Danio rerio: one gene and its partners. Each later gene encodes a partner of the first gene's protein in a complex. Links are inferred from orthologs where the notes say so. Each region holds a gene or a part of one and is shown on either strand. Other genes may lie near its edges.

Region 1 (3,500 bases):
AAACTCACATTGGTAGCATTTAACAATGAATAAAGCACATAATCTGTACCTGAGGTGATAATAGTTGTTTATGCTGCAGAAATAGATAAGGTTTCTAAAATAGAAATTTCACGTGTCGCATATGGTTAGGACGAAAACTACTTTTACATGGAAGGACACTGTTTTATTGCGTGCTGCGGCACCATGTGCTAGTTTTTAGTGCGCATAATTACAAAATAAAATAATAACAAACAAAAAAAAAATCCCAAATGTACGTCCAGACTTACCTGTTGATGGTGAATGGCTGGCGTGCTGGCTGCTGCTTGGGCATGCAGATAATGCTGGGAGAGCTGCGGTTTGGGCTGCCCAGGCCAGAACTGCCCATACTGTTGGTCCTGCCGCTCATACCCATGCCCTGCCCTACCTGCGAGCTCATCATGTTCCTGGTGTTCATGGGTAGGATCCCCCTGTTGAACATCATTAAGATTTGAATTTAAAGCTCGCCCAAGAATGAACATGTACTCACCATTGACTAAAAAAAAAAAAAAAAATCACAAAAATCACATAAAAATCACAAGGGTCACAAAAGCTTAACGACAAGAGTTCATAGAGATGTTGACTACAAGAATTCCATGACTTTTAAATAAATACTAATGACCTAATGATTCATGTAATATCTATGTGTACATGGTAGGGCTGCTCGATTATGGGAAAAATCATAATCACTATTATTTAGGTCATAATTGTAATCACGATTATTCAAAACGATTATCAGTTGAAGTCAAAATTATTAGCGCTCCTGAGATTATTATTTTTTTTTTAAACAACTATTTCCCAAATTATGTTTAACAAAGCAAGGAATTTTAACAGTATTTCCTCTAATATTTTTTCTTCTGTAGAAAGGCTTATTTGTTTTTATTTTGGCTAGAATAAAAGCAGGTTTAAATATTTTGAAACCCATTTTAAGGTCAATATTATTAGCCCCCTTAAGCAAAAAATATTTTTGATTGTCTGCAGAATGATTCTCTACTTGTATGTTTATTACACAAGTAAGGGTTAATATGAATAATCACTAAACACCGGGTTTTGACACCTATTTGACCATTAAATCGCTCACATTAAGATGACTTTAGATGTGTGCGCTCTGCTCGTCTTAGTGTGCGAATGATGAGACCGCATACTTCTGTGTGTGCGCGCTACACACACACAAAGCTACACACACACATAAGCATGCGGTCTTTCACGCTGCTAAGTTAATAATCGTTTATCTCGATTAATGGTTTTTCATAATCGTTAGAAGCTAAAATCGAAATCGGATTTTCGATTAATTGCACAGCCCTAGTACATGGTAAATAATAAGAAAAAAGCACATTCAAATTTACTATAAAACACAATAAATACATGACAATCTATGTAGTTTACAATACAAAACAAAATTTATTTGGTAACACCTATATAACAATAATGTGAAAGCATGTGACAAATATTATTATACGTTTATGTAAAGAAAAAAGGTTGTAACAACACACACTACCCGTAAGCATCACTTGTAAACAAAATCTTAGAATGACAGAAAATTAATGAAAACTAAATAACATGTAGAATTGCAATTCATTTCACAAAATGATAAATAATTAGTAAAAAACAAAAACACTTATCAATTTTAATCAAAAGTAAACACTAGAAAGAGGCTAAATTATTTAAGCAACAATAATTCAATTTATAGAATTCTCAATTATATTTATTTAATTCTTAATTATATACATTTAACTATTTATTTATGAGTTCAGATGCAAAATCCTCTAAACCCTTCAGACCTCCAGAGCATTTTCTATCAGGCTCCTATAACTAGGTTTAGACATTTCATTTTATAGATAATAAAAAAGTCATTAGCTAGTACATCAAATAACTTTTTTCAAAAATGTCACTAGACAACTTTTGCTTTTTTAACAAGGTGGATTTTTTTGGCATCAAAACCAGCTAAATTAACTTGTGCTTTTTTTTTTTTTTTTTTTGCAAAAACCACTTCTAAATCCACCTATTGGGACAAGAATTAGATGAAATTATTTTACCAAACATAAAACATTACACAAACCACCTAAAGTTGAAAATACATAAATCTGTCAAGTAAGTGGCTGTTCATTCCGCTGTGGTAACCCCCGATAAACCAGGGACTATATGGAAAATGAATGAATGAAATCTGTCAAGTAAGTGCATTAAACAATAACATTAAAATTGACATTACATCTTAACATTCTGTTGTCATTTCTGATATTTGGGATTTAGATTTAATATAGTGCAAAGTAAAAATTGTAAACTAAGCTTGTTAGATTCGAATGATGTAGTGTAAAAACATCAATATCTTTGCACTGTCCATTAATAAAAAGTAATACAATTTATTGAAGAAATATAATGTCAAAGTTGTAAGCATTATATTTATCTTTTTTAAAAATTGCTTACACTCTAAGAGTGCTTTCACACCTACACTTTTGCTTCGGAACCTGTCTCGTTTGCCCAGTTAGTGTGGTTCGTTTGGCATATGTTAAACCCCCAATCGCTCTCAGATTCGCGCCAAATCAATCGCTCCGAGATCGCTTGAATGAGGTGGTCTCGGAGCGATTGAAACAAACTCTGGAGCGGATCGATTGCAGTAAGAAAGCAATCTGATCCGAGCGCGGTTATATCACTGTGTTTTATGGATATGTAATAGGCAAACGGCTATATGAACAGAAAATTATGAGTAGGGCGGGAAGTTTTGCAAGTCTCCAGATGCCCGCAAATGAATGATAATCTCCCGGTAATCTCGTGTCTCCCTCTCGGTCCTCAAAAAGGCTACGTCGTGCACCCTTCTCACCCTCTCCTCACTCTTTACACACGTCGCGCGCACCTTGTCAAACACCACCAAACCACCACCTCTCCTGACAGCTGAGCGGGACTGCAAAATAAACCCTGACACTCTGACCAATGTGAGGAGAGTTTACTCTCACATGACTTGTTTTAGCTCTTTTGGTCCGATTAGAAACTTTGCAGTGTGAAAGCGAACCGCACCAAGAGCAAAGAGCAACAATGTAACATTTGTAATCTCTATTTCGGAACAACTGAATCGATTCACAGGTGTGAAAGCACCCTCAGACACTTTTAAAAGCTGTCATTCATTCATTTCTTCTCACAATACTCAAGGTCTTGGTCTCTTTTTTGTCTCTTGTTTATCCTCATAGCATCCATGTGGGATAAAAGAACAGCATCTTAACTTTGTCTTTCGTGAAATGGAGTTGCCGTTTTAAGTAATGAATAGTAAATCGGACTCATTTAAAGTAGCTTGACTGTGCAAAAAAAAAAAAACATGCATGTTACATAAGGGTGTCACGATCCTCCAAATCCTCGATTCGATTACATTTTCGATTCTAAAGGCACGATTCGATTCGATTTTCGATTATGAATAATTAATTAATTAATGACCAATCATCATTTAATCATTTGTAGCCTACCGTTTAAACTACCTGACCTGCATGGTCTTTGTT
Region 2 (4,296 bases), on another chromosome or scaffold:
GAATGAATCTGTACATGTGTTTGGCCATGGAGAGAAAATAAGACAACTAACCCACATTTAATATGCAGTTATTTGTTAAAGTAATTTCCAGAACTTTTTCAGATTTACCAGAACTTTTCCAAGCAAAATTCCATGACCGTATAAACCATGCATTACGCATTACTTTATGCACATTTTGGATCATTGCATACAGAAATGTGCACTTAAACTCAGAGCAGTGTTTGTGGGCACTCACATGCCGTGGATGCGCTTGTGGATGTTGATGGTGTATTCACGGGTCACCACTTCATTGATGGCCGAGCGGCCCTTCTTCTTCTCGCCCTTCTTGGGTGCCATCTAAACACACATAACAACATCACAAAAGGTTAATTACATTTACACAACAGACACACTGAACGTTTGATTGTCAGATAAAATCACAGCTAAAGTAGTTCCAGCAGGTTTAGAGCGCATTACAGTTCCATGTTACTCCGCTGTATGATTAGAGTTATTACACAGCTACAACAGTAAGACATCACATCAGAAGTAGATCTGGAGGACACTAGACATTTGAGGAGGACAAACACCCGACTAATACACTCAACATACAACATCTGTACAGCGGATTTATCTGTGGAGATCAGAGAAGCACAATAATCAGCTCCGGCAGAGTGGATTATTAGAATATAAAGCACAGCTACGCGTATTATATTACTCCACACATGTAAACGCCATCTAAACACAAACACACATTAACACTTGACGTCACTATTAACCCATAACAAACAGGTTAACCTAAATAGAACGGTCTAGATCTCTTTCTAGATACCGTTTCATTTGTAAACATGAATTTACCTCGTCAGTAATGACTGACACGCTCAACCCGTACTCAAGTGCACTACACGGTGGCCCACTACCTAGCGAACTGCTGCATTACTCTCATTACACTACGAGCATAAGCTTTAGCCATGTAAACAGCGCTTATTATGGTGAACTGAGGGTTTATTTCGGTGTTTTACTGCGGTTTTCCCGCCGGTTTTGCTCTTTCGGCTCGTCAGACTGCGGCGTTTCAGAATGAACTCCATTTAAGCTCACATCTGTGATTAAACCCCGCCAAACCGGCGCTCGCTGATCGATAACGCGTTTCTACACTCATACACAGCAGCATATTTGATTATTAGTGATCGATAAGGCGGATGATGGTGGATTTATGAAACATGAATGAGAGAACGGTACTCACTCTGTGCGCTGGATGTGGAAAAGGAAGAGCGGTGGATTATGGGACACATACAAAGGCGGAGCGCGCGTTCACATCCGGGTCATACTAACGTTTGTATCATTCTGTTCTCAACCATAACAGCATGTAAAAAAAACATAACAGCATGTATGCTATAACTATGCCTGCATGTAACTACTTTATATATGCGTGAATGCATCAAATTTGATTTAAGGCGATTAGTGTAGTTTTGTGGTCAACTACATCTCCCATGGTGCTGCGCGCCGCACAGGAAGTGCTCACGTACACCCGCGACGGTTGTGAGTAGAAGTGAAGAAACACATTCAGGTTAAAACACTGAATAATTCAAACATTAACGCGTATTATATCGCGTTTGATCGTTATCTTTGTGCTGGAGTGTCGCCGTGTCGGCCCGCGTTGAATATTCATGATCTGCCGGGAGGTGATGAACACCGCTCAGGTAAATGTTATTATTACTCACTGTGTGTCAAAACACACCGAGCTCCCTACATAGACTGCTTATAGTGAGGTTTATTGATTAGGAGAGCACTAAAAAATTGACCAACAGTGTGTTTACTTAGACTTATTAGTGAATATAGTTCATATTTTGATGAAAACAGTCCTACAAGCCTTCTGACTGAGTGTTTGACTTCATTATCCACTATTACAGTTCTTTATAGAGTGTAATTAAGCTCATGCTTCATGTTTTTGCAATTAAATGTTAATGCTAAGAATATTTTAATAATATTTCATGATGAACACTAACTTTGTTTTACTTTGTCATCTATTTATGGAGTATTACACTTATGACTGTCATTCCAGAACCTTTGCTGTCTCTGTTCCTCAGTGGTGGAATGATCTAAAAACAGGGGTTCCCAAACCTTTCAGCTCGCGACCCCCATAATAACAGTGCCAGGGACTCACGACCCCCAATATTCTGTGAGGTGGTTATACAGTTAAAGTCAGAATTATTTGCCCCTTTTAATTTTTTACATTTTTTTTAAATATTTCCCTAATGATGTTTAACAGAGCAAAGAAATGTTTACAGTTTGCCTGATATTATTTGTTCTTCTGGAGAAAGTCTGATTTCAGCTAGAATAAAAGCCGTTTTTAATTTTTAAAAACCATTTTAAGGTCAATTATTATTAGCCTCTTTAAGATATATATTTTTCTCAATAATCTACAGAACAAACCATCGTTATACTATGACTTGCCTAATTACCCTAACCTGCCTAGTTACCCTAATTACCCTAGTGAAGCCTTTACATGTCACTTTAAGCTGAACACTAGTGTCTTGAAGAATATCTAGTCTAATATTATGTGCTGTCATCATGATGAAGAGAAAATAAATCAGTTATTAGAGATGAGTTATTAACACTATTATTATTAGAAATGTGCTGAAGAAATCTGCTCTCCCTTCAACAGAAATTGGGGGGAAATAAACAGGGGGGCGAATAATTCAGACTTCAACTGTATATATATATAGTCCTTGCACACAGCAGCGCAAATATACCAGTAGGCCCAAGTCTGTTCATCGTTTAATTTTGGAGAACGCCACTCGGAGACCATCTCCCATGTTCAGTTGAGACCTGTATTTATTTTTAATCTACCTGAGTGCTGTTTATGTGTCAGAAAGTTTAACCTGATGCCATAAAATCGCTGTGCTGCATCTGACACTATTGCTGTGTCTTTAAAATAGCATAATCAGCCGAGGGGTTGCAAACAAAAAGCCATCAGGGTTTAGATTTTTGTTTGCATGTTGTGTTTTTATTAAAGTTTATTATCAACATGTTAACGATGCTACTATCAACTACTATTGTGCTCTTCAGTAGATTATGGATGAAATATGGTCGCTCTAATTGTTTACTAAAATGAATTTGATTGTTGGACATCGATAAGTGACCCCTCCTCATTGTCCCGACCACCACTTAGGGAAACACTCAATGATCTAAAACATCTCAAATCCTCTGAGGATGGAGATTAACCATAAAACTAATAATCTGATCATAAATATTAATTGAATGTGTTATATGGGATGCTAAGTGATATTTGTTTCATTTATTGAAGTTAAACTGCTGTAAACCATCTTCGCACACGTCATTGAAATCCTTGATAGTTTGTGATAAAAATAAATCATCGAAGGCCCTGGAAAGTATTGAGGTGAAGTTGTTTTAATATTTGCACATTTTGACTTTCACCTTCTTAATGTCATTTCAGAATTTTTCATCATAGTACAACACAGTTGACGGTCAATTAAATAAAGCTGCTGTTATTTCAAAGTCTGACCAAACATTCAGAGTAGCGCGTCACAACCTTTTACTGTTCAAAAACGAATGAATGTGCAAATAATAATAATAATAATTTATAATTTAGGCTGTAGCGTCGCGGTGAGGCAGTGCATAGCACCTTCACCTCACAGCAAGAAGGTCTCTGGTTTGAGTCTCGGCTGGCTCAGTTGGTGTTTCTGTGTGGAGTTTGCATGTTCTCCCCGTGTTAGTGTGGGTTTCCTCCGAGTGCTCCGGTTTCCCCCACAGTCCAAACACATGCGCTATAGGGGAACTGATCAACTACACTGGCCGTAGTGTATGAGTGTGTATGGGTGTTTCCCAGTGATGGGTTGCAGCTGGAAGAGCATCTGCTGTGTAAAACATATGCTGGAATAGTTGGCGGTTCATTCCCCTGTGGCGACCCCTGATTAATAAAGGGACTAAGCTGAAAAAGAAAATGACTGAATGAATGAAAGTAAATTACTGAAAAAGAAAATCGCACATGTGACTAAATACATTTTCCAGTTCGCACACGTCTTTTTTTAATCGCATATATTTGAGTGAAATGGTTGCACTGTCGAGCCCTGTGAGTACTGCTATACCTCGCAGAACACCATAAAGCACTATTTATTTTACTTTTATCTTCTCTGTAGTGTACTTATCTTAGCTTGAAGATTGTTTATTATAGTTTAGGATGATTGTGTGTGTGTATGTGTGTGTGTGTGTGTGCGTGTGTGTGTGTGTGTGTGTGGGGGGGGGGGGGTTAGAGTAACTCAGCATCATGACTCTGGCTCATTAAGATCTGTCTAATCT
Region 3 (4,279 bases), on another chromosome or scaffold:
AACTCTATCTCCTCCTAGAGCTTTCAAGCTATGACCACCAAACTCACACCAGACCTCCAAACTGGTCTGACTCGGGTTGCTATATCTTTTCCGACTGATCCGACTTTCGGTTTTCCGAAAAACGTCCCGGGACCATCGGAAAAATCCCATTGACTTAACATTGGACCAATCTTTGTGACCTCATAACTCTGCATCAGACTGTCCTACAGACTTCTAACTGGGCTCATTTAACTCAGACTACCTAACTGCCAATAACTGATGAGCTTTTAACTTTCTGGCCACACCCTAGCAACCACTTTTGGGACCCTAGAAACTGTCCCATAGACTTCCACTGCAAAAGACTCTCATTGACTTTACATTGGGTCAAACTTTGTGAGCTCATAACTCTACATGAAACTGTTGCACAGACTTTTAACTGGGCTCAATTAACTCAGACTACCAAACTACCAATAACTGATGAGCTTTTAACTTTCTAGCCACACCCCTAACAACCAGATGCGGCACCCTAGCAACGATCCCATAGACTGCTATTATAGAGGTTCAGACTGATATCGTCATGCTGCAGTGAGATAGAGACATGTGTTGCTTTTAACTGTTCATACTGGCAAGAAGCTTTGATACATCAACAGTCTAAACTGTCAATCAACTCCATAGCAACAAAACAGACTAACCTAGCAACGATTTAACAGCAGCTATATCTTAGTATCAGAACATCTTAGAGAAGCTGGGGTTGGCTTGTTTGACTCATGCTAGCAAACCATCTATCTATCTATCTATCTGTCTGTCTATCTATCTATCTATCTATCTATCTATCTATCTATCTATCTATCTATCTATCTATCTATCTATCTATCTATCTATCTATCTATCTATCTATCTATCTATCATCTATCTATCTATCTATCTATCTATCTATCTATCTATCTGTCTGTCTGTCTATCTATCTATCTATCATGCTAATTCATGCTAGAATCATCTTTTCATACTTTTTAAAACTGTTTAAACTAAATAAACTATTATCATCAGGCTTTCACAAGCCTGCCTCAAAGTTTGTCCTCAAACTTTAAGAATCTAGTTACAAATGTTTCTTTACAATAGTATCTTTGGATACCTTTTCTGCTGGAGATACTGTTGTCCTAAAAAAAAAAAAAAAAAAAAAACTGAATACAAATTATTACACATACCTTGTAAGAAACGTTATAGCTGAAAATTTGGGCGGTTTTAAAACGTTGACTTTTCCAAAGTACAGTATACCTTGAGAACGGCTATTGTCCCATGCCAGACAGATAGATAAACAGAGAGATAATATGAATATATAGAAAATAATATGAAAATAAACATTACCTGGGGGTTATGAAGCATAAACATAAAAATAACTAAATTGCACATCAGCGTCTTTATTTACGAACATAAAACTCCCACGAGGAGTTCAAAGGTCAGGCGTCGTGGTGTTGTGACGTCACGCTGTAGCGCTGTGATGTAGTTTCAGAGGTGGCAGCTGGTTGTTGATATCGGTGTTAGCCCAATAAAACTATATAAAAGTAAAGAACAAACGTCCCAGTCCTTTCTAAACAAGGTGATTGTGTATTACTGAAGCAGTATACGCTTTAAGTGTAACTACCTTGTTTGAGGAAAGGTAAGTCCTGACAGAAAAAAAGTCAAGTTTGATCATTCTAACAGGACAAACTTTGTGGCTAAGCTAGTAGCTAACACGCTAGCCTCATACAGAAATAAACATTCACCCCGTTCTCCAAACAGCACAATTCACACGTTACGAGAGGCTACTAACACAGTTCTTTGAAAGCTTAGTGTAGACGTGATTTCAGGACGTTTGCGGTGTTGTTTTTTCAGTTTAGCAGATTTTGTCCTAGCTGCTGCTGATGCTTCTAACCTGTCAACCCACAGTAAGTTATTTGGGCGTTTAATAGCTTAAGGACATGTGAGGCAGAATACAATAGACTATAAAATCACTTTAACGTGCATGAATATTCAAAAGCATTTTTGGCACACAACCAATCTTCCTACATGCTTTGTTTGCATATTGAAGTGAATGCTTCTGTTAGCCTGAAACCATGTTGTCTTATCTGGCACTTGTTGTAATGTTTAGTCACACTACAGTAGTTTTTTTCTGTATGTTGTAAGTATGAATCATTATTCAAATGCTGTCATGAAGCAAAAATAGCAGCCGAGGAGTCATGTTTACAAAGAGGAAGCTTAGAGGAAGAAAATCTCCTTCTGTTTCTAATCTTCATAATGCTGTCTGGAATGAAAAGGTTGTTCATCTAACAAAGTGTGAAATTTGTAAACACATTTATATTGATTTACCCAAGTGAATCATCCAGGCCATGGCAGACGTAGGATCCACAACTAAATTCACAGACAAGTTTAGTTGTTATTTAGAGTTTAGAGCAGAAAATTCAGTTTGTGCATACTTGATTACAAAATTCTCATTTTAATGACAGATGATGGACTTTTGGTGACATATATAAACCATTTAGTACATATTCTTTTATTCATTCTGCATTTTGAACACTGTTTATTTACACTTTCATAAAATGAATTTGCATTTTATTTATTTGTTAGTGTATTGTTTGTGATGTAGTAAGAATAAAGTCATTTGATTTAAATCAGCAGGCTAGTTGTAATGCTTTGTTTGTTTTTGCAGGCAAAAAGAGGGAACAAGCAACTATTATTTCATGAGAATATCCCCTGGGGAGTGTTTTTTTGGTTTTGATGCCGTGCACCTGAGAGTGGAACTATGCCCGCAGCCACTGTGGATCATAGCCAGAGAATATGTGAGGTTTGGGCCTGTAATCTGGAAGAAGAGATGAAGAGGATCCGACAGGTGACCCGAAAGTTCAACTACATTGCAATGGTGAGTTTGAAAGTCATGTTGTTTCATTTAAATGAGTCCAGTTTTATTTTTCACATGTAATCTAGGATTGTTGCTTAGCAAGTTTAAATAGTGCTGTTAATATCCAGAATGTCTACATCAGATGTCACAGAGGTGTAAGGGCATGTGATGATTGTTATACTTGTTGTTTAAATTTCGTTTAAGCTGTATGTCACTCCCTTAGCTTTGCACAAAACAAAAACACATCTTGAGGGCCCAAAAGCATTAAACTAGATAGGCCTGTGTAATTCAAGTGAAGAAAGAAAAAAACAGTTTGTGTTTTTATAATTACACATGCATTCTGGGATCGAATGCTTCAAATAGACAGCCTTTTCAGATCATTTTTAATGCAACAGTTTGCTTTATACCCAGCCTGTAACATCGGTATCTATACATTTTCTATACATTTTTATCAATTTTATTTTGCTATACATGAAAAAGTTAAAAAAAGATAGTTATGGTTGCATAAAATGTGTTTGTATTTTTATAAAAACAAATTCAGAAGCATCACCTGAGCTGTAATGTTTCAGAAAAGACCAGAGGCATTGTCACCTGGCCAAATGTGAAACACTTGTGTTGTCATCAAAGCTTGTGCAGTAACACAAGGGAAAGGGAAGGAGGAAAAAAAACTTGACATCGGTGTAGTCTCAAGTTGGATAAAGTAGCATTCACTGCTTTAAGTCAGATGCTGTTCAGTATGTGCTGCCCTGCAAGTCAAATACACAGTCACATTTAATTTTGAAATAAAGCAGATTGCAGTTTTAATTGCATTGCTTAAATCAGTGGTTCCCAAAGAGGGGGTTGGCACCCCCTGGGGGGGTGGGGAGGGGTCGCAGGACAATGTGGGAGAGCCGCTTGATGATTTCCAAAAATTGATTAAATTTAAATAAACTATTAGAATTACTATATTTTATTCATAATCTACAGAGCACACAAATAGTATTTAATAGTTACATTAAACAACATGGGCAGCATGGTGGCGCAGTGGGTAGCACAATTGCCTCACAGCAAGAAAGCCGCTGGTTCAAGCTCCCACTGGGTCAGTTGGCATTTCTGTGTGGAGTTTGCATGTTCTCTCCGTGTTCGCGTGGGTTTCCTCCGGGTGCTTCGGTTTCCCCCACAAGTCCAAAAACATGTGGTATAGGTGAATTGAGTAAGCTAAATTGCACATAGTGTATGTTTGTGAACCCAGTGATGGGTTGCAGCTGGAAGGGCATCCGCTGTGTAAAACATATGCTGGATAAGTTGGTAGTTCATTCCGCTGTGGCGACCCCAGATTAATAAAGGGACTAAACCAAAAAGAAAATAAATGAATGAATTAAACAGCATACAAATAAAAATCTGCCTTTTTGTTTTGTTTTTTCTTTCATTGGATTGAGACTCCTG
Region 4 (4,070 bases), on another chromosome or scaffold:
CAGGTTACTTTTATTCTAAATCTGGGACCTTATTTCTGAAATAAAAATGAGCATTAAAAAGATGTGAAGCATCAGAAGCAGACCATATTAAATTAATTAGAATATATGTTGGCTATTGTTCATATCTAGGATTTTTCAATTGTATTTTTTTTTACCAAAGAGACTAGAACAATTCTGCAAAATTCATTATAATTGTTTTATTATTATTATTATTATTAAATTTTAACATTTTTTGGCCAAATTGTGACTAAGGGCAGTTGCGTGTGCTGGCCAGTTTGTTTTTTGTCTAATAAATGTTAGTGGGCAACAATTATTTTACTTCAAAACTTTGACAGATTGCTATTTTTTCTTAATGATACTGTATATTATTTAATAAATTTGTATTTTAAAAATTAGTCTTGTTTTATTTTTTTAATGCAATTTTTAAGACATATTTTTAGTACATCAAAAAGTGCGGTTTTGATGACATCTGACTAGTTAATCCAGCAAAAAAATCACTAAAATGCAGTTCAATTCAATTCAATTCAGCTTTATTTGTATAGCGCTTTTACAATGTAGATTGTGTCAAAGCAGCTTCACATAAATGGTCATAGTAACTGGAACAGTGTGGTTCAGGTTTTAGTGTTTAAGTTCAGTTCAGTTCAGTTTAGCTCAGTTCAGTGTGATTTAATCATTACTGAGAGTTCAAACACTGAAGAGCCGATTCATTGATGCGTAGCTCTACCAATCCTGAACCATGCGAGGCAGTGGCGACAGCGGAGAGGGAAAAAAAACTTCACCAGTACTTGCAGTATTCAAATCTCAAAGTTAAATAGAAACTGAGGCGTATAAGTGAAAAAAGTTCCACAAGGTCAAAAAGAACCACCCCTTTCACCAGGCTGGCTACGGGCATGCAGTGATGGGTTGCAGCTAGAAGGGCATCCCCTGCGTAAAACATAAACTGGATTAGTTGGCAGTTCATTCCGCTGTGGCGACACCAGATTAAAAAAGGGACTAAGCCAAAAAGAAAATGGATGAAAAATGAATAATTGATTATTATTGTTGTGATTATTATTATTATTATTATTATTATTATTATTATATGAAAATATCAATACCCTATTGTTATCATTAATCACATAATAATCATTATAACGTAATAATTTTAATACCATTATGATGAACAGCATATTTATAATAACTATAATCAATGAATTGTTATTTTTTAGTAGAAGTGAACAATGGAGTTTAAAATAAGCACTTTAAGTATAGTAGGCTACTACTCAAGAGTCGGCATGGGGGCAGCAATGAACACAGATGATCCTTACCCGCCAACAACTCAGAGAAAGAAAAAGAAGAAGAGGAGCGTAGAAGAAGAGGCAGCTGCGGAAGGCGGTTGTTTTTTTCCCCTTACCTCATTTGCTAATGTAAACCTGGTTTATTTCTCGTTGTTTTGAAAACCACTGTTCACTTTTATTCTGGAGAGCACAGTAAAGCGGTCGCGAGGATGTTGGCGACAGGAGCGGTGAGTTTCTGGACGCTTTTCGGGGTTTTACTCTTGTTTGTGCAGGGGCCTGGTAGAGCTAACGGCTAAAGCTAATTCAACCAGTTACTATGGTGATCTGTATTAAAGCTCGTTTTCGTCTTTATTTTAGACTTTTCTTTAAACATAATGTAGTGTAAGTACTTATAGTTATTAGAGAGTCATATGTGAGAAATTTATGCGAGCCTGACGTTTTCTACGTGTGCTTTTTGTAAACATAATATTAGCATAGTTGTTAAGTTAGTGTTTTATTTTTTTCATTTAAAGAACAGCATATTACATTTTACATCAAAAATATAAATATCAAACGAGGACGTATAAACAAAAAACAAGTATCCAAAATGTACATATGTAATGTTCGCAATTAAATTAACACGTTTGAGAGTCGCTGGTGCTGGTAATATATAAACATATTTCAGTCAACAAAGCCGTAAAATTAGGCTTCTTATGAGAAAAATTGCATTTCTGAATGTAAAATATAGATGACAATATAAATCGCGTTATAATTTAATAATAATAACAATATTATAATTTAAGTCAGTTAAATGCAGGGTTCATACGGTCATTGAAAACCTGGAAAAGTCATGGAAATTTGACATGGCATTTTCCAGGCCTGGAAAAACGGAAAAACCAACAAAGTTTTAGAAAAAAATCATGGAAATTAGTTTAACAGGTATCTGTATACTTAAATATAGATCAGTTGTCTTTTTTACTTCTCAGAGCTCAACAATAAGGACTGCCCGATGGCCCGGGGCCAGTGTGTGAGATGCTTGGGACAGTAGACAGGATCATTTATGCTGCCTTGTCACTAGTTTCATTTGCCTGTGACTATTTGTCAATTGCGTGCAAAATACAGTCTTAGAATTGAGAAAGAGTTTGTGTTTTCAAGCCTTCAAATGCTACCTTTCGGTTTTTCTTATCTGATTGGATGTTGTGAGCACATTATTTTTATCCGTATCAACCAGTACAGCGTAGAGACTCCAACATGGCGGTAACATCAAATGATTATGCTAAAGGAAGACATGTGTTTTTAATGTCTTGGAAGCAGACATTTACGAGGGTACACCACGACTAAAACAATTAAGTGATGTTTTGTACAGTTTGCCGTCAGTTCGGCAGGTCTTTAGCCATCCTTTGTTTCAGAACACTTAGAATTTTGCTCATTATACATTTATTAACTATTAATTAACTAGTAGTTTATTAACATTAATTTTTTTTTTAATATTTAAATTCTAGATTTACAAACATTTTGACATGTTTTTCTTTTTAATTTGTGGCTAAGAAATAGCTATTAACTTTTTTTGGTGGGGCCAGTTAAAATATTGGCAGGGCAAGTAAAAATCTGAACAGCTGGTCCGATTGGGCCAGTAGAAAAAATTCTTAGCGTTGAGCCCTACTTCTTTTCTGTCCATGGTCGAACACATGCTCTCACATTATTAGTAGTGTGTGAACATTGTCTAAATAAATTTTAAATGGATATAAAGATTAATTTATTCATTCATTCATTTTCTTTTTGCTTAGTCCCTTTATTAATCTGTGGTCGCCACAGCGGAGTGAACCATCAACTTATCCAGCATGTTTTTACATAGCGGATGCCCTTCCAGGTGCAGCCCATCACTGGGAAACATCCATACACACTCGTTCACACACATACACTACGGACAATTTAACTTACCCTATTCACCTATACCACATGTCGTTGGACTGTGGGGAAAACCGGAGCACGGTGATACCCACTGTGCCACTGTGCAGCCTATAAAGATTCATTTAAACCTAATAGATTGTTTTATGATATTCCATTATAACCTTTAACATGCATAGTTTTTCTTGTTATTTACCACGTATATGGAGACAGTACATGTAACATTAGGTCATTAAAACTTACTTGAAAATCATTGAAATGAAGGACGAACCCTGTAAATAGAATTATTTTCCTCATGGTCATTAGTAAATATAGTTATGAGTTATAGTTATGTGTGACTATTATTAATATTAATTTTGTCACCTGGTAATATAGTAACAACTTGTGAGAAAAAAAATTACACCATACATTTTGACATTTGAGTCATTAGTAGGCATGGGCTGGTATAAGATTCTGACAGTATGATATAACCTTGGATAAAAATAGCATAGTTTTGTGGTATCATTACTGCGCTAAAATAAGTGCTTTTTACATATCTGGGTAAAACAAAACAAAAAAACTTTCTCCATGCAATATATTATGTTTTATGAACTATGTCAGGGTAAATAGTAAAAATAAATCATTGACTTCTGCTCTCTTTATTAGTTTCAAAAACACAGATTTCTTTACAACACACAAAAAAAAAATACACTGTAAACCCTTACATATACCTTATAAACGATATAACAGAACATTTTAGCGGTTTTAAAGCCTTGTCTATTCCAAACTTTTAAATCGTCCCATGCCTAGACGTTAGTAGTCAAAGTAATGACTCAATGAAGGAAAGAAAAACCTATTTGTGACTTGTATAAGTGTATTTTGGTTGTGATGCTTATTTTAATAGAATGTGTCATTTTAAATTATATT
Region 5 (4,091 bases), on another chromosome or scaffold:
ATAATATAATGCTCCAACAAAAAGTACTGCTAATCTGTTATCAACATCCCATATTGAAAGTCATGTTAATTTATTTTAACATGTCAGTAGGTAATATGCCAGTCCGAAAACTATTAAAGTAACTTAAAGTAATTTCACCTAAAAGGGACAGTTTCAAGAAAACAAATATGGTTAATTTATTAAACATTCTGTAAAGTAAACTATTAAAAGTGCTGATAATCACCAGTCTATGATTGTAAGTGTTGTATTGTCGTCTTTCAGGTTGTATTTCAGCTTTGTCGGCTTTTTAAATGAATAAATAAAAAACAAAACAGCTGCTTTTCATGAGGCAGCGGCGCAGTAGGTAGTGCTGTCACCTCACAGCAGGAAGGTCGTTGGGTCGCTGGTTCAAGCCTCGAATCAGTTGGCGTTTCTATGTGGAGTTTGCATGTTCTCCCTGCGTTTCCTCCGGGTGCTCCTGTTTCCCCCACAGTCCAAAGACATGCGGTACAGGTGAATTGGGAAAGCTAAATTTTCTGTAGTGAGTGTGTGTGTGAATGTGTGTGTGGATGTTTCCCAGAGATGGGTTGCAGCTGGAAGGGCATCCGCTGCATAAAAACTTGCTGGATAAGCTGGATGGTGAAATGGGCGCTGCTGTTGCATTGGAATGTTCTATTGAGTGTCGCTGCTTGGTCATTCTAAGCTCCTTGAAGATACACATCAAGCTGCAGACCAGAAGTTCAAAGCATCCTTCTTATGGGATATATGGTAGCTGGATATATGGTAGCTGTTTTAGGATATATGGTAGCTGTTCTTAGGATACATGGTAGCTGTTCACAGTTTATTAGTGTCTATTATTTAATTTATCTTGTACTATATTAGTTAAATGTTTAGTTTATGTCTAGTGTGTGTCATATTTTTGTTTTTAAATTGCACATTGGAGTGTGGGAGAAACGCAGTTTCAGTCTGCTGTGTAATGTACTGTTGCATGGTTTGATTGACATTAAAGTTGACTTGACTTGACTCATGCTTACACGCAAAGCATAATGTGCAATTGTGCATTTTATAAAAAAGGTCTAGCACACCTACTTTTCTAACGTACTAGTTTGTAGTAAAGGGGCGAGGCGAATCTGTCATGGTTACAGGTGTTCAACTGTAGAAAGTAAGTCAAACAGGTTGTTAACGATTGTTAAACGATGACAGAATGTTATCGTATTTTGAGTGAACTATAAAAAAAAATAGTTGTAGTTTTTCCTCCAACCCGATAGATGTCAATCGCGAACATAAATTCCGGTTTGAAAAAAACACTCGCGCGGCGGTTGTGGGTAATATTCATGGCGGAATTCTGAAGCTGCTAAGAAGAGACACACCTTCTCCGTTTTCTCTCCGTCGGTTCAAATTGTGGAATTAATTACACCTTTATCTGTTGAAAAAGTGAATTATCGTCCATATAACTGAAGGAATGGCTGAAACAGGCTCAGGTAGGCGGCGTGTTTGACATACAGCGGGTCTTGCAAAACACTGCAGCTGTTCTCCAGCGCAGCCGGGCATGTAAACAGAGGATTTTACCGCAAACAGATTCTTGTTTTGTTTATAAGTTTTACATTTGTAGCTTTATAAAAGTTTGTAGTTTGGTTTACAGTGCATAGTTTGAATAACAACGTCTAAATAGATAGCTAACTGTTAATGAACTTGCCCAGTAATGCTTGTACGTTAAATGAGTTATGTTGTTTATAGTTAGTTTAGAATATAAATAATGCTTTAATGCATATTATTGTGTAACATTTAGGATTTTGAGTTAGCATTTTATTTAAATAGCTGTTTAAATATATGACAAATGCTTTTGTTTTTATTGTTTAGTGCAGTTTGCAGTCATATAATGGCTGTCAGTGCTGTCCGTGGATATTCATTGAGGTAATAGAGGTAAAGTTGGTTTTATATTTGCACATTCAGACTTTTCCTTAATAATATAATTTCATAAAATTATTATTTGCAAACTCTAAATGGCGAAATCATACTAGCAGCCAGTGACTATCAAAGTCAATTAAACAGTGTTGATGTTGTTTTTAAGTCACACTTGCATGCTAATTCCGATCGAATATTCAAAGTACCATGGTAAACAATATAGAGACTTCCAAATAAACAAATGTGCAAATATAAAACCAACTTTGCCTCTAATAGGGAGTGTGTCACAAGTTGACACCGAATTAATGTGTAAATATAAAACCAACTTTACCTCAGTATTGAGGTAAAGTTAGTTTTATATTCATTCACACATTCTGACTTTTTCCTTAACATAATTAAAAAAAAAATATTCTTTGCAAATTCTAAATATTGAAATCATATTAGACTTTTAAAGTACAACATTGTTCACAGTCAAATAAATAGTGCTGATGTTGTTTTCAAGTTATAATTCGGTGTGATTTCAGACTGAATATATTTTAATTACCATGCTAAACTATGTAGTGAGCATGTCACAAGTAGGCTAAAGAATTCTCACAGGATGATAACCTTGGATAAAAATCTCATGGTTTCACATTATTTTGATAATTGCTCTATTATTATTAAAAAAAAACTATTCCCCATTGAACTCAATATATTTTATTTTGAGAAACATTTATAATATTTTGGAGCTCTAAACATGTCAAACTACATAATTTAAATGAGTCATTGACCTCTGCTGTCTTCATTATTTTCAAAAACACTGATTTCATTACAATTTAAAATGGCATCTTTAAATATATTTTCTGTTGGAGATACTGTTATCCTAAAAAACGTAAAAAAAAAAAAAAACATTCTTACACTTATCTTAGGAATGGTACAGTAGAGCATTTTTGCGGGTTTAAAACCTTGACTTTTTCAAACCTGGTATACCTTGTAAACGGTTATTGCCCAATGCCTAGTCACAAGTTGTTTTCACTGAACGAATGTGCGAAAATAAAACAATCTTTACCTCAATTGAATACTGCATGAGTTGAATATGTCCTGTCATTAACTGCATCTGTTTTCTTTTAAGATCAATCTGGTGACATGAAGCATGACATCGCTTCATCCCCTGGGATGTCGGATTTAGAGAAAGAGGTTGCAACCAATGCTTTCGAGGCGTTTAAGGTAAATAGTTATTATATAGATGTCTGTGAAAGACATATTTTTTGTGATTATTTTTTCCAGATCTCTGTGACATTATATTGCGTTTTTCTTCCAGACTGGAAGCTATGACGAGTCTCTGAAATATCTTGACAACCTTCAGGAGCTGAACAAAGAGGACTACAAGATTACAATGAACAAAGCGGTCACTGAGTTTTATAAAAGTGGGCAGACAACAAGCAGCACCTTGAAGCAGACGCTGATGACCTTGAAGAATCAGGTATGGTATCACTGATGTCTCTATTAAGGGATGCTAAAAGTGAAGGCTTTGAGTTGGAGAGGAAAATTAAGGATGCACCAAAATGATATTTATTTTTTAATCATAGGGTTTAATCTTTTTTTAATAAATTATTCAATATTAACATATATAATATATTTTTTGAGATAAATGGCACATTATGGACACTGTTTTATTCATCTCTTTCTATATATTAAACATTGATTTAGCTTTGACATATGACATCAGTATGATTCAAATATTTTAGAAAAAAGTAATTTTTGATCAATTTATTACATTCTTGTAAATAATAGTCATTTTTATTTACCAACATCTTGTGGAATGATTTATACCATGATGCAAGAAATCTAGTCGAGTCCCGCAGCTCCCATTGTACAGCCGCAGGACTCGACTAGATTTCTTGTATCATGGTATAAATTTCTAAATTAAGTGTGGGAGCGGTCGGTAACTGTTGTTATTTGAATTGGAGGGGGCGGTCTAACAATATCGCTCTCGACTCCCGAGCGAGCACGTGTATGTATGTGTGTGAATGTGAGAGTGTGATGCTGTGTGTCGCTTGCTTGGGGCTGTGCATCTATGTGTGTGTGTGCTTATACAGACAGCTTGTTATAGGCTGTCTGGACCCTGTATCATGTAGCTGGGTGGTTTTTGCCTTTGCTCCTCCGTTCGCGAACACATCAACCCCCGGGAGCGGGATTACAAATTTTAGATCTCTACTGCAGCCCAC

The links.
Region 2: cnot2 (region 1) and cnot11 share a complex: the UniProt entries of both Homo sapiens proteins name them as parts of the CCR4-NOT complex. The link is inferred for Danio rerio from reciprocal best matches to the Homo sapiens genes CNOT2 and CNOT11.
Region 3: cnot2 (region 1) and cnot7 share a complex: the UniProt entries of both Homo sapiens proteins name them as parts of the CCR4-NOT complex. The link is inferred for Danio rerio from reciprocal best matches to the Homo sapiens genes CNOT2 and CNOT7.
Region 4: cnot2 (region 1) and cnot9 share a complex: the UniProt entries of both Homo sapiens proteins name them as parts of the CCR4-NOT complex. The link is inferred for Danio rerio from reciprocal best matches to the Homo sapiens genes CNOT2 and CNOT9.
Region 5: cnot2 (region 1) and cnot10 share a complex: the UniProt entries of both Homo sapiens proteins name them as parts of the CCR4-NOT complex. The link is inferred for Danio rerio from reciprocal best matches to the Homo sapiens genes CNOT2 and CNOT10.

The regions. Positions count from the first base shown.
Region 1 is NC_133200.1:31,065,175-31,068,674, reverse strand, and holds part of cnot2 (CCR4-NOT transcription complex subunit 2), read right to left. Parts: intron 447-3,500; coding exon 267-446; intron 1-266. UniProt on the Homo sapiens protein: Component of the CCR4-NOT complex which is one of the major cellular mRNA deadenylases and is linked to various cellular processes including bulk mRNA degradation, miRNA-mediated repression, translational repression during translational initiation and general transcription regulation.
Region 2 is NC_133184.1:58,585,888-58,590,183, forward strand, and holds the start of cnot11 (CCR4-NOT transcription complex subunit 11), read left to right. Parts: upstream 1-1,496; 5' UTR 1,497-1,676; intron 1,677-4,296. Other genes in the region: rpl31 (large ribosomal subunit protein eL31), read right to left, coding at 236-336. UniProt on the Homo sapiens protein: Component of the CCR4-NOT complex which is one of the major cellular mRNA deadenylases and is linked to various cellular processes including bulk mRNA degradation, miRNA-mediated repression, translational repression during translational initiation and general transcription regulation.
Region 3 is NC_133189.1:34,918,124-34,922,402, forward strand, and holds the start of cnot7 (CCR4-NOT transcription complex subunit 7), read left to right. Parts: upstream 1-1,479; 5' UTR 1,480-1,636; exon of another isoform or gene 1,637-1,904; intron 1,905-2,665; 5' UTR 2,666-2,758; coding exon 2,759-2,875; intron 2,876-4,279. UniProt on the Homo sapiens protein: Has 3'-5' poly(A) exoribonuclease activity for synthetic poly(A) RNA substrate. Its function seems to be partially redundant with that of CNOT8.
Region 4 is NC_133197.1:12,453,816-12,457,885, reverse strand, and holds the start of cnot9 (CCR4-NOT transcription complex subunit 9), read left to right. Parts: upstream 1-1,270; 5' UTR 1,271-1,486; coding exon 1,487-1,504; intron 1,505-4,070. UniProt on the Homo sapiens protein: Component of the CCR4-NOT complex which is one of the major cellular mRNA deadenylases and is linked to various cellular processes including bulk mRNA degradation, miRNA-mediated repression, translational repression during translational initiation and general transcription regulation.
Region 5 is NC_133191.1:8,036,391-8,040,481, forward strand, and holds the start of cnot10 (CCR4-NOT transcription complex subunit 10), read left to right. Parts: upstream 1-1,291; 5' UTR 1,292-1,441; coding exon 1,442-1,460; intron 1,461-1,839; exon of another isoform or gene 1,840-1,902; intron 1,903-2,995; coding exon 2,996-3,090; intron 3,091-3,184; coding exon 3,185-3,346; intron 3,347-4,091. UniProt on the Homo sapiens protein: Component of the CCR4-NOT complex which is one of the major cellular mRNA deadenylases and is linked to various cellular processes including bulk mRNA degradation, miRNA-mediated repression, translational repression during translational initiation and general transcription regulation.